Schizosaccharomyces pombe: one gene and its partners. The gene in region 1 interacts genetically with each later gene. Each region holds a gene or a part of one and is shown in the gene's direction. Other genes may lie near its edges. The genes, in order: pdc202, SPOM_SPBC1703.09 and irc20.

What was found.
Region 2: mutations in pdc202 (region 1) and SPOM_SPBC1703.09 together harm fitness less than expected from each alone (positive genetic interaction), as found in Schizosaccharomyces pombe (one large-scale study listed by BioGRID).
Region 3: mutations in pdc202 (region 1) and irc20 together harm fitness more than expected from each alone (negative genetic interaction), as found in Schizosaccharomyces pombe (one large-scale study listed by BioGRID).

What each region holds. Positions count from the first base shown.
Region 1 is NC_003424.3:583,873-587,631, forward strand, and holds pdc202 (pyruvate decarboxylase), read left to right. Parts: upstream 1-1,724; coding exon 1,725-3,440; 3' UTR 3,441-3,623; downstream 3,624-3,759. Other genes in the region: ysp2 (peptidase family M17 cytoplasmic leucyl aminopeptidase yspII (LAP yspII)), read left to right, coding at 1-161.
Region 2 is NC_003423.3:2,929,714-2,933,259, forward strand, and holds SPOM_SPBC1703.09 (uncharacterized protein), read left to right. Parts: upstream 1-1,921; 5' UTR 1,922-2,049; coding exon 2,050-2,514; intron 2,515-2,562; coding exon 2,563-2,706; 3' UTR 2,707-2,918; downstream 2,919-3,546. Other genes in the region: acl1 (ATP citrate synthase subunit 1), read left to right, coding at 1-459; fau1 (5-formyltetrahydrofolate cyclo-ligase), read right to left, coding at 673-785, 837-998, 1,047-1,175, 1,221-1,349, 1,395-1,476; GTPase Ypt1, read left to right, coding at 3,276-3,286, 3,455-3,546.
Region 3 is NC_003424.3:4,657,079-4,660,837, forward strand, and holds the start of irc20 (ATP-dependent DNA helicase), read left to right. Parts: upstream 1-2,018; 5' UTR 2,019-2,177; coding exon 2,178-3,759. Other genes in the region: ornithine decarboxylase Spe1, read right to left, coding at 1-940.

The sequences.
Region 1 (3,759 bases):
CAGCGGCTGCCTTTATTAAATGCTTCTTAGCCCAGAAAGATTTGTCTTTTGCTCATTTAGACATTGCCGGAGTTATGGATAAGCAGCTTAATTCTTGGGATTGTGACGGCATGAGCGGACGCCCAGTTCGCACTATTATTGAAGTCGCTCGCAAGTATTAGCTTATTTATTTTCTTGGCTATATGTGCAAACTTTATGTTTTTACTTATTTACTGTTGATTACACCAATCTCATTTTTCAATGTCCTTGTTAAGTGTATGTCAATGATATGTAGCTATCATGATTTTATTCTTTTTAATACTGTTTTCCACAACCGTTCATAACGGTTGTAAGGACCGAGTCTTTCTGATGGCTCTGGTTCTGTTTCCTTTAAAAATAAAATCAATTCGGTTGAAGTCTCATGTTGTTAAATTTCACTTTCGAAGTAGCGAATTTTTTTTTTCTATTTTGAATATAGATTTGTTTATTAAATGTAGTAATCAATTTACTCATGACTATTACTTTTGTCAAACAAAATCATAATACAAAACTAAATCTTTAAAGGTAGAATATTCTCCTGTGCGAGTTTACAATACTTTGGGATATGATCAAATCAATTTTTTTTAGATATCTGTTGAAATTTTTATAACAGTAATTTTGTATTATTTATCATACTATTTATTAGCGTTACCTGCCCTCTTAAATGTACACATCATGTGGGGGTGGGGGAACCAGTGCTGGAGATCACTTCTTGCTATACCGTTTGGCTCATGGCAACTATTGAGGATAGCAAGGAGCGTTACAATTTGCAAATCAATATGATAAACAGAAAAACAACAAGTTGAAGCTTAACACTGTAGCAATATAACAATGAAAAAAATAATCAGAATTAAAGCAAGAAGCCTATAAATGGTCCATCAATTGTGAAATCGATATTGCTAGATGTCAGGCAAATCGTGAACTCGGTTGAAAAATGTCGTTAATATTCATGTGAAATCATAATTACAGCAATATGTTCAAAGACTTTTGGATACTTTATAATAATGAGGATTCTATTTTTGAGTGGTCACATGGTCTCGTAACCATGAGGTACGCCTTACTTTTACGGACGAAACAATATTTCACATTCAGCTCTCAATGTTAAGTATCCAAACAAACATGGTACAAACCAATAAAGCATGTAAATTAATAAGCTTGAAATAAGGAATAGTCATTAAATTCAGTTTAGACATAATGTAAAAGGTATCAATTTTGTCTTTGGTATAGATACAATTAAGAATTTCGAGACGGAACGTTCGGTGATGTAGAGTTTTCATAATAATTTCTGCAGTTGCTTACACTAACCGAAGAATCGTCCAGTATAAACTGCTGACGATGCCTTAAATCAATAATTGCAAATTGCATAGTTGACGTTTTCCCGGGTGGCACATAGTGAGATTTGAGTCGAATAATGAAATAGCCTCTGACGAGTGGTTTCGTACCAAGAGTTTCAAAAAGAATAATCCACATTAACTCAATGTATCATTGATGACGGAATGTTGCTTATATAGCCAGAGTAACCCTGCTCTGAAGCATCTAAGGTTATATCTTTTTAACTTTTAGCTAGCAAACTCACTTGTTCCTTTAAGTTCAGAAAGTATCTGCTGGTTATTCAACAGATAATTATCTTGCGAAAAAGGAATACACACTCAGCATTGTAATTTGTTGAGTATATTTCACAAGCACATTAAATTGCATTATCAAACATGAGTGGGGATATTTTAGTCGGTGAATATCTATTCAAAAGGCTTGAACAATTAGGGGTCAAGTCCATTCTTGGTGTTCCAGGAGATTTCAATTTAGCTCTACTTGACTTAATTGAGAAAGTTGGAGATGAGAAATTTCGTTGGGTTGGCAATACCAATGAGTTGAATGGTGCTTATGCCGCTGATGGTTATGCTCGTGTTAATGGTCTTTCAGCCATTGTTACAACGTTCGGCGTGGGAGAGCTTTCCGCTATTAATGGAGTGGCAGGTTCTTATGCGGAGCATGTCCCAGTAGTTCATATTGTTGGAATGCCTTCCACAAAGGTGCAAGATACTGGAGCTTTGCTTCATCATACTTTAGGAGATGGAGACTTTCGCACTTTCATGGATATGTTTAAGAAAGTTTCTGCCTACAGTATAATGATCGATAACGGAAACGATGCAGCTGAAAAGATCGATGAAGCCTTGTCGATTTGTTATAAAAAGGCTAGGCCTGTTTACATTGGTATTCCTTCTGATGCTGGCTACTTCAAAGCATCTTCATCAAATCTTGGGAAAAGACTAAAGCTCGAGGAGGATACTAACGATCCAGCAGTTGAGCAAGAAGTCATCAATCATATCTCGGAAATGGTTGTCAATGCAAAGAAACCAGTGATTTTAATTGACGCTTGTGCTGTAAGACATCGTGTCGTTCCAGAAGTACATGAGCTGATTAAATTGACCCATTTCCCTACATATGTAACTCCCATGGGTAAATCTGCAATTGACGAAACTTCGCAATTTTTTGACGGCGTTTATGTTGGTTCAATTTCAGATCCTGAAGTTAAAGACAGAATTGAATCCACTGATCTGTTGCTATCCATCGGTGCTCTCAAATCAGACTTTAACACGGGTTCCTTCTCTTACCACCTCAGCCAAAAGAATGCCGTTGAGTTTCATTCAGACCACATGCGCATTCGATATGCTCTTTATCCAAATGTAGCCATGAAGTATATTCTTCGCAAACTGTTGAAAGTACTTGATGCTTCTATGTGTCATTCCAAGGCTGCTCCTACCATTGGCTACAACATCAAGCCTAAGCATGCGGAAGGATATTCTTCCAACGAGATTACTCATTGCTGGTTTTGGCCTAAATTTAGTGAATTTTTGAAGCCCCGAGATGTTTTGATCACCGAGACTGGAACTGCAAACTTTGGTGTCCTTGATTGCAGGTTTCCAAAGGATGTAACAGCCATTTCCCAGGTATTATGGGGATCTATTGGATACTCCGTTGGTGCAATGTTTGGTGCTGTTTTGGCCGTCCACGATTCTAAAGAGCCCGATCGTCGTACCATTCTTGTAGTAGGTGATGGATCCTTACAACTGACGATTACAGAGATTTCAACCTGCATTCGCCATAACCTCAAACCAATTATTTTCATAATTAACAACGACGGTTACACCATTGAGCGTTTAATTCATGGTTTGCATGCTAGCTATAACGAAATTAACACTAAATGGGGCTACCAACAGATTCCCAAGTTTTTCGGAGCTGCTGAAAACCACTTCCGCACTTACTGTGTTAAAACTCCTACTGACGTTGAAAAGTTGTTTAGCGACAAGGAGTTTGCAAATGCAGATGTCATTCAAGTAGTTGAGCTTGTAATGCCTATGTTGGATGCACCTCGTGTCCTAGTTGAGCAAGCCAAGTTGACGTCTAAGATCAATAAGCAATGAGCAAGCTATTGAGAGTGGAATTGGCAAACAAAGTTTCCTTTGATTTATATGTTTTTTATGATAAGCCCATTCAATTCATATAGTCTTTTAGTATAATGATTAGTTATTAAATTTATGTTTAAAGCAACTTTTTAGTTTAAAATTTTTCAAGTCAAGTTAGGGTGTACGTAAACAAACAATACCTTGGAAGCAATGAATGAAAAGGTAGAGTTAATCCAAACAATGTGGAAACCAGTTTCCTTGCATCTACTTACTAGTTTCGCAGAAAAATTGCTAAACTGCTTAAAAGCCAACTTTAACATTCTTATTTCTTACATAG
Region 2 (3,546 bases), on another chromosome or scaffold:
CAAGAGTTTTCTAAAGCTTATGACGCAGGGTTATCTCCACGTGCTTTTGTTGACTCTTGCCGTAAGGCCAACAAATTGATTCCTGGTATTGGACATAGAATTAAGAGTAGAAATAATCCTGATCTTCGTGTTGAATTGGTCAAGGGTTACGTTAAAAAGAATTTCCCTTCAACTAAGCTCTTAGATTACGCTTTGGCCGTAGAGAATGTCACTACTTCCAAGAAGGATAACCTTATCTTGAACGTTGATGGCTGTATTGCTGTATGCTTTGTCGATTTACTTCGTAACTGTGGTGCTTTCACTCTTGAAGAAGCTAATGAATATATCAATTTGGGTATCTTGAATGGTATGTTCGTGTTGGGACGTAGTATTGGTCTTATTGGTCATCATCTCGATCAGAAACGTCTTAGGGCACCTCTTTATCGTCACCCTTGGGACGATTTCTTGTATTTGTCTTAGATTATGAACTTAAGTTTGTTCTGTTTTGGAATAGGTTTTGCTTTTCGGATTATCGTGAACAGTCTTCTAGTGGTCGTTTGGATTGACTTCTCCGCCGTACGAAAATATTTTACCAGAGATTTAAGGGGACTTAAAATTTGTTTATTATTAGTCCATAAATATTAATACGTAGTCATCTAAATTGCAACTTGCAGATAAGAATAAGATTTTGTACTATATATTTCTGATTACTTTTTCCGGCGTAACAAGGGCATCCAGTTTTTGGTCTCTGGTATCCATTGGGATTTCTCGATTTGGAAGTATTTGTTCTTTAAGGCAAATTCCCACTGGTCACGTTAGTTGTTTATATGAATTACACAGCGAGATTGGAAACGAACCTTTGAACATGTTAGCTCGTGATTCCTTTTGTAACGCCCAGCTTTGATACTTGGAAATGTAATTGTCATAGTACCCCTTTCCATGCCCTAGTCTAGATAATTTTTCATCAAAAGCGACTCCCGGAACTATTATAAGTTCACAGTCTGTTTCATCATCCATAACTAAATATGATTAATAGATTGAACAATTCTACCAGAATTTTAACCAACTCTTTCTTGATTCTCCATTGGGCTCAGCAATACCCCATTTGTTAATCGTCAAGGACTCAGTTTTCTCGAAAACTTGATACATTTCCATTACATGCGAACCAATACATTTAGGTATGAAAACATTTTTGCCTATTTTTGCATGATTAGTAATGTATTGAAAGATTTAATACTAACCTTCTTTGAAAGCCACGTCTATAAGGCATCTAGTTCGTACTTCTTTTTTTGGCATGTTCATGTACAGACAGACATTTTTGCATCTTTTCCATTCGGGTAATTCGACCACTTGTTTGCAAATGGAAATTGCTTTATGCATTTAATTGTTAAGCTTGATATTTTAAGTATACTTACATTGAGAATCAATAATATGATCCGCAAGTTTGCCTAAACTGCTATTTAAAATAGCACGTAGTTGATTCTTTTTTAAACTCATTACTTTGACTAATACGACTTAATATTTATAGTTAGTAAAAGCTTTGTTAGTGAGGTTCACAATATTATCAATATTAATCTGACTCGTGTTATAAATCGGTTATCAATTTTATAGAATATAATATATATACTAGGTAATCAAAATTCATGTTAATATTAAATGAATTAATAGCTTGAGTTAATTGTATATCTAAGAAATATCCAAATGTTCAGTAAGAAGTTAAGTATTAAAAAAATTTTCCAATACAATTTATGATGACAATTGTTTAAAATTAAAATATAGGTTCAACGATGGCGTAAAACCATTTTATGCACTTAAACTTGCTGATATTGTTAAAAATATTGATTGATTTACCTATTTTACATTGCGCGCAAGTTTTCAGATATGTATTCCTTAGTTGACTGAATACTTACTGACAGTTCTTTTGTTAATTCATACCTCCTCTACCACGACTCTCTTAAATCTTCAAAAACATTTGTTTCTGTGTTTTATAAGATATTTGGAGAAGCTTCTTATTTTATTTTTGTAATTCATCATACTTGTCAGAGCCTGAAATGCGTTTTTTTTGTAGGCATGCAGGATAATCAGGTTCTTGCGAATACGGCGAGTATGATCATGCCAAAATCTTCGTTTATTACTACTAAGCAGCTATGGGAAATAGTGTTACAAGGAAAAGTTGAAGCAACGGAATTTATCCCTGCAGATGTTTCTGATAGTACACAAACTGTTGACCGTTCTAACAAAATATCTCCTATCACGTCTCAGTTAACTATAGAACCAAACAAATCTCAAACCATTGTTAAGAAGAATCCAGATAATTTAATTTTCGTTGCAGTTAACCAAAACGTTCAACTACAATTATCAATATTAAAGCAACAACAGAACAGAGTTGCTGCTATGGAATCAGCATTACAGCGAATTCATCTAGAAATTACTGCGATGTCAGAACAATTGATTTTGCAAAAGTATCAAAAAAATCGGTTCTTTTTCATGTCATCTATTAACGCTCTTATTCGAATATCTCGAAACTGTATAAAGGTAAGTGTGCAATATATTCTTTTGGAAGTTCTTATCTTAACAAATTAGTTACTCTTTAAGAATTCTTTGGTGCTTTTAGCTGCTTGTTATTTCATGAATACGACCCCTTCAAGATTGGTCATAAATCTAATTCGTTCCGGTTACCTTATCTTAAAGCGATTCGCAAATCCGAGCTATATCTCATTTTATTAATTTTCTTTATGTTGTACATTATTATATCTATACCTCTTCTAATTTGAACCCCTTACTTTAATGTTGGCAACTCTACAGTCTTGACATAAATATACATGTTTCCGTACTTAACTGTCATCAAAATCTAGAAAAGACTCATGTTTTTGTTACTCTTACTTTTTCAAGTATTTTTTTTTCCGTTATGACATATTATTTTCTCTGTTTTTAAGGAAGTATGTACTATTGTAGTCGCGATTTTGGCGTTCGTTTGTACAGTATGGATTTTAGTTAAGTATATTTACAATTTAAGATTGACTGTAAAAACTACAAAAAGTTATAATTTTATATTAATTAACTTGAGTGAAGCCTTTGTCTGCACATATAATATATTTGTTTTGAAAACATATGAAATACTACGGAAAGTTAAGATACGCTAAACGAAATAACGATACTTAATATAATTAGCAGCATGATAGTAAAAGATTTGCCCGTGAGCATTCTTTGGGCTGTAGGGTCCCCCACTCCGCTGCGTTGGTATATGCGTAGACTGAAGCGAGCAACAGAACGTCCGCCATTACTGTGCATATACGATGAATCCAGAGTAGTAAGGATTTAGCATACTATTCAATACATCAGGAGCTAGAAATTAACAATTTATAGAGTATTTTCTTTCCAAAATTAAAGAATTCTTGTAAATTGGGCGATATAATTGCTAATCAATAGGTAATGAGTTTTTTTACCGTAAGAAGATGAATGCTAATATTAATAGATACGACTATCTCTTTAAGCTTTTACTTATTGGCGACTCTGGTGTCGGTAAGAGTTGCCTTCTTCTACGTTTTGCCGATGACACTTATACTG
Region 3 (3,759 bases), 4.1 Mb from region 1:
CAATTACATTGACAGCCAAAGTAAACGAAGAAGAGACGAAAAAGCGACCGGGCTCAGAAATAACACGGATGGAGGGATCAAAATAAGTATCCAAGGCAGAGCGAATAAGGTCTGCTACGCCATCAAAGCTGTCATTCATGAAACCACCACCAATGTCCAACAAGTCAAAATTAAATCCCCTTTCAAGTCCCTGATCAAATACCTGACGAGATCGTTGGATAGCATCCAAAAATGCTGAGGGATCATAGCTTCCTGACCCAACGTGAAAGCTAACACCGACGACATTTAACTCCAGGGACTTTGCGATGTCTAGCAGCTTACCAGTATCATCGAGAGAAGCACCAAACTTTAGACTGAGACGGCAAAGACTATTGGAATCATCGGTAGAAATACGAAGAAGAAGACGTGAGTTGGGATGATGTTGTTTCACCTTGTACAGCTCATCGGCATTATCAAAAGTCATCAGATTAATGCCTTTAGAAGCAGCATAGCGCACATAAGTTATGGCTTTACAAGGATTGGCGTATACAATTCGATCAGGGGATACACCTAAGCCAAGAATTTGTTCGAGTTCACCCTTAGAAGCACAGTCAAAACCAGTTCCAAATTTATTAAGCAATGCAAGTACCTTAGGATCAGGATTACATTTGACTGCATAAAATGGTTGAACACGAGGTAATTTAGCATGCCAACGAAGAAGTTGGCGATATACTCCGTTCAAATCAGCAACAAAAAATGCATCAGAGTCAGCGGGTTCACCACGGACAGCTGCACGCTCAATTTCCTCAATCGTGTTTTTAAACGCCTCACCAATCGCCTGGCGAGACGATCCAGGCGAAGACCATGTCACCACTGAGTCAATTGGTTTAACATGGCCAAGTAATTCCGTCGTACGCAACGACTCGCTGACGAGCATATTCTTTTCCATAATAGCAGGCATCGTGTAAGTAAGCTTTTTCTCTTCTAGAAATTCCGAGATCACTAAATTGAATCGTTGAATAATTTTTCTTCGGATACAAGCTAAACAAACGTTTTGTTTGTCAACTGCTCGCTTTACAATAATTTTACTATTTCAAATCAATCAATGATTTGAAATCTGCTGTTGATCAAAAAGTCCTTATTCGAGAGATTGTCTTAAATAGGAGACGTAGACGGAAATTTGCACTTTTATATACTTTTGGTGGTCGCGCAAAAAGAGCGTTTATCCTTCCAGATTCTTTTTCTTACCCACTTGTCACTGTTTTCTGCTAATTCCCAATCGTGTTGTTGGTTAAGGGTAAGTTCAATTTTGCAATGTGTGCGTACATAAAAAAATATTACACACTAGTAGAATTAACCTTAGTTTAGCGTTTGTCTTATTGACATAATAGTCTAACAAATCGAATTGCAATGTAATACGGTAAACGCAGTTTGGTTTAACAATATTTGCGACGACAAGAATCCTTCAAACTAGGATATTTCTTTAATATGTATACAATCTTTAGTTTATATTTTGTACTTTAGTTTATGACAATAACAATAATCTTTGTCCAGTGAAGGTGACATCACTTTTAAAAACTTTCCTACCAGTTTACGTTTTATTTAGAATTTATATTTTTTTGCTAATTGAATTAAACTTGGTAATCGATATATACTTAAAGGATGAGCACAGTGTTTTAGCAATAAGGAATAGTGTGTTTGTACAATACCGAGTAAAAAGGGCTCTTTCTTTTAGCCAGCAAATGAGATATTAAGTGTATCGGTAATTTTAATAGTATTTACAATTTACTTACTAATTAACGTAGATGTTATTTCTTAGGTAATTTTGAGTTCTAATTCGTGTTTGTACTGATTCAACCGTGAATAATAGAATTCCCTTACAAACGATTTATCGATATTTACCTTGTCGTACTTTTAAACCAAAAAAAAAAAGAGGGAAGAAAGGTGGGGAAAAAATACCAAAGTAATATTCGACTCTGCAAGCTTTAGCAAAAAAAAAGTGGCACATGTTTTAATCAAGACACTTTTTGCCCACAACTAAGAACAAAAGCACATAACACAATGCCTACCCTTTTGTGTTCTTGAGGGTTTATATATTTTCGTTTATTTCTTTGTACATTAAAGAATTCTATTCATTCTAAAATTTTTAAGTCTATTGGTTCAAAACACGACTGTATTTAATTAAGAGAGGGAACATTATGGACCGAACTAAGAGGCGAAAAATAGAGAAGGAGGCTTCCTTACTAAATGAAAGAAACAACCTTTTGGAAAGTGATTTCGCCAATTGCTACCGTGCATTCCAGCACCAACTCAAGCTAGACCAGCAGATATGGCGTGGACCAGAGGACGAGTTAAATCGGCTAAAGTCTACTATTTATCCTGTCGTTTTTTGGGTTGATGGATCTGAGAAACTACATGCATATAGTTTTACTCAAAGAAAAATTTCATTGGCCAAAAACTTGATTCCTTTGTTTTCTGTCGACTTGAATAAGGATACTTACTCTGCTTTAAAAGCACCTCTCAAAATTTGGAGTAAGCTTTGGGAGGATAATAGGCGGCTGAAGAAAATTATAAAATACACATCTTATGTTACTGTAAAAGGATCCGAGTTAATTTTGTCGTTTGGCATTTCCATACTCGACTCTTTTCTTGCCCCTCAAGATGCGATTCTTTCATCTGGATCATCTTCCTCATACACTGCTTTACTAGACTATACGTTCCTTCCGTCTGAAGATGAGGAATATTCTTGTTTAGATATTAACACTGCACTATTTTACGATTGTGCAAGAAAATTGGCAAAAAGCCTACGTTTCGCCAATGTATCACGCGATCCAAGGCTTTCTTCGGAACTTTTACCATTTCAAATGCGTGTTTTAGAATGGATGAAACGAAGAGAAGAAGAGAAATTCCTAACCTCAAATGATTTACCACCTCTATGGTACCATTGCAAAAGTCTTTTTGATGATCGAATGGTTTACGTTAATCATGTTTACGGCTATATGACATTTTCGAAAGAAAAAACATATTTGCTTGCGTCCGGTGATATACGTGGAGGCATTTTAGCCGATGAAATGGGCATGGGAAAAACTTTGGAAGTCTTAGGATTAGTTTTGCATCATCAGTTGCCAATTTCTTTGACTGATACTTGTACTTTCGATCAGGTCGTCGGAAAAAATGTAAAGTATTCCAAGGCCACCCTAATAATTACGCCTTCTACAATTCTCGATCAATGGTTATCTGAGATAGATTTGCATGTGCCATCATTGAAAGTATTCCATTACCAAGGAATCCGAAAATCCAATGGTTTGAAATCAGCTAAAATTTTTTTGGATTGTGATATAGTGGTAACATCTTATTCTGATTTACGGTTTGAGCTATTGTACACTGAATCTCATTCCAGGACCTTAAGACATGAAAAGCGACATGTTTCTCCAAAGTCTCCATTGATTGATGTATGTTGGTGGAGAATTTGTGTTGATGAAGCTCAGATGGTTGAAACTTCACAGAGTAATGTCGCACAAATGATTTATCGCATACCTCGTGTCAATTGTTGGACTGTAAGTGGAACTCCCGTACGTAGTGAAGTTGATGACCTTTTTGGCCTTTTATTTCTTCTTCGCTACTCCCCTATGTATTTATACAAAAAACAAGCTTGGATGCAAATTATAGAGAAGAAACGTGTTCGTGAATTTTGCGATCTGTTTGGCTCCCTTGTATGCAGACATTCTAAACAGGACGTTGAAGAAGAATTAAAATTACCTCCTCAACATCGAATCTGCA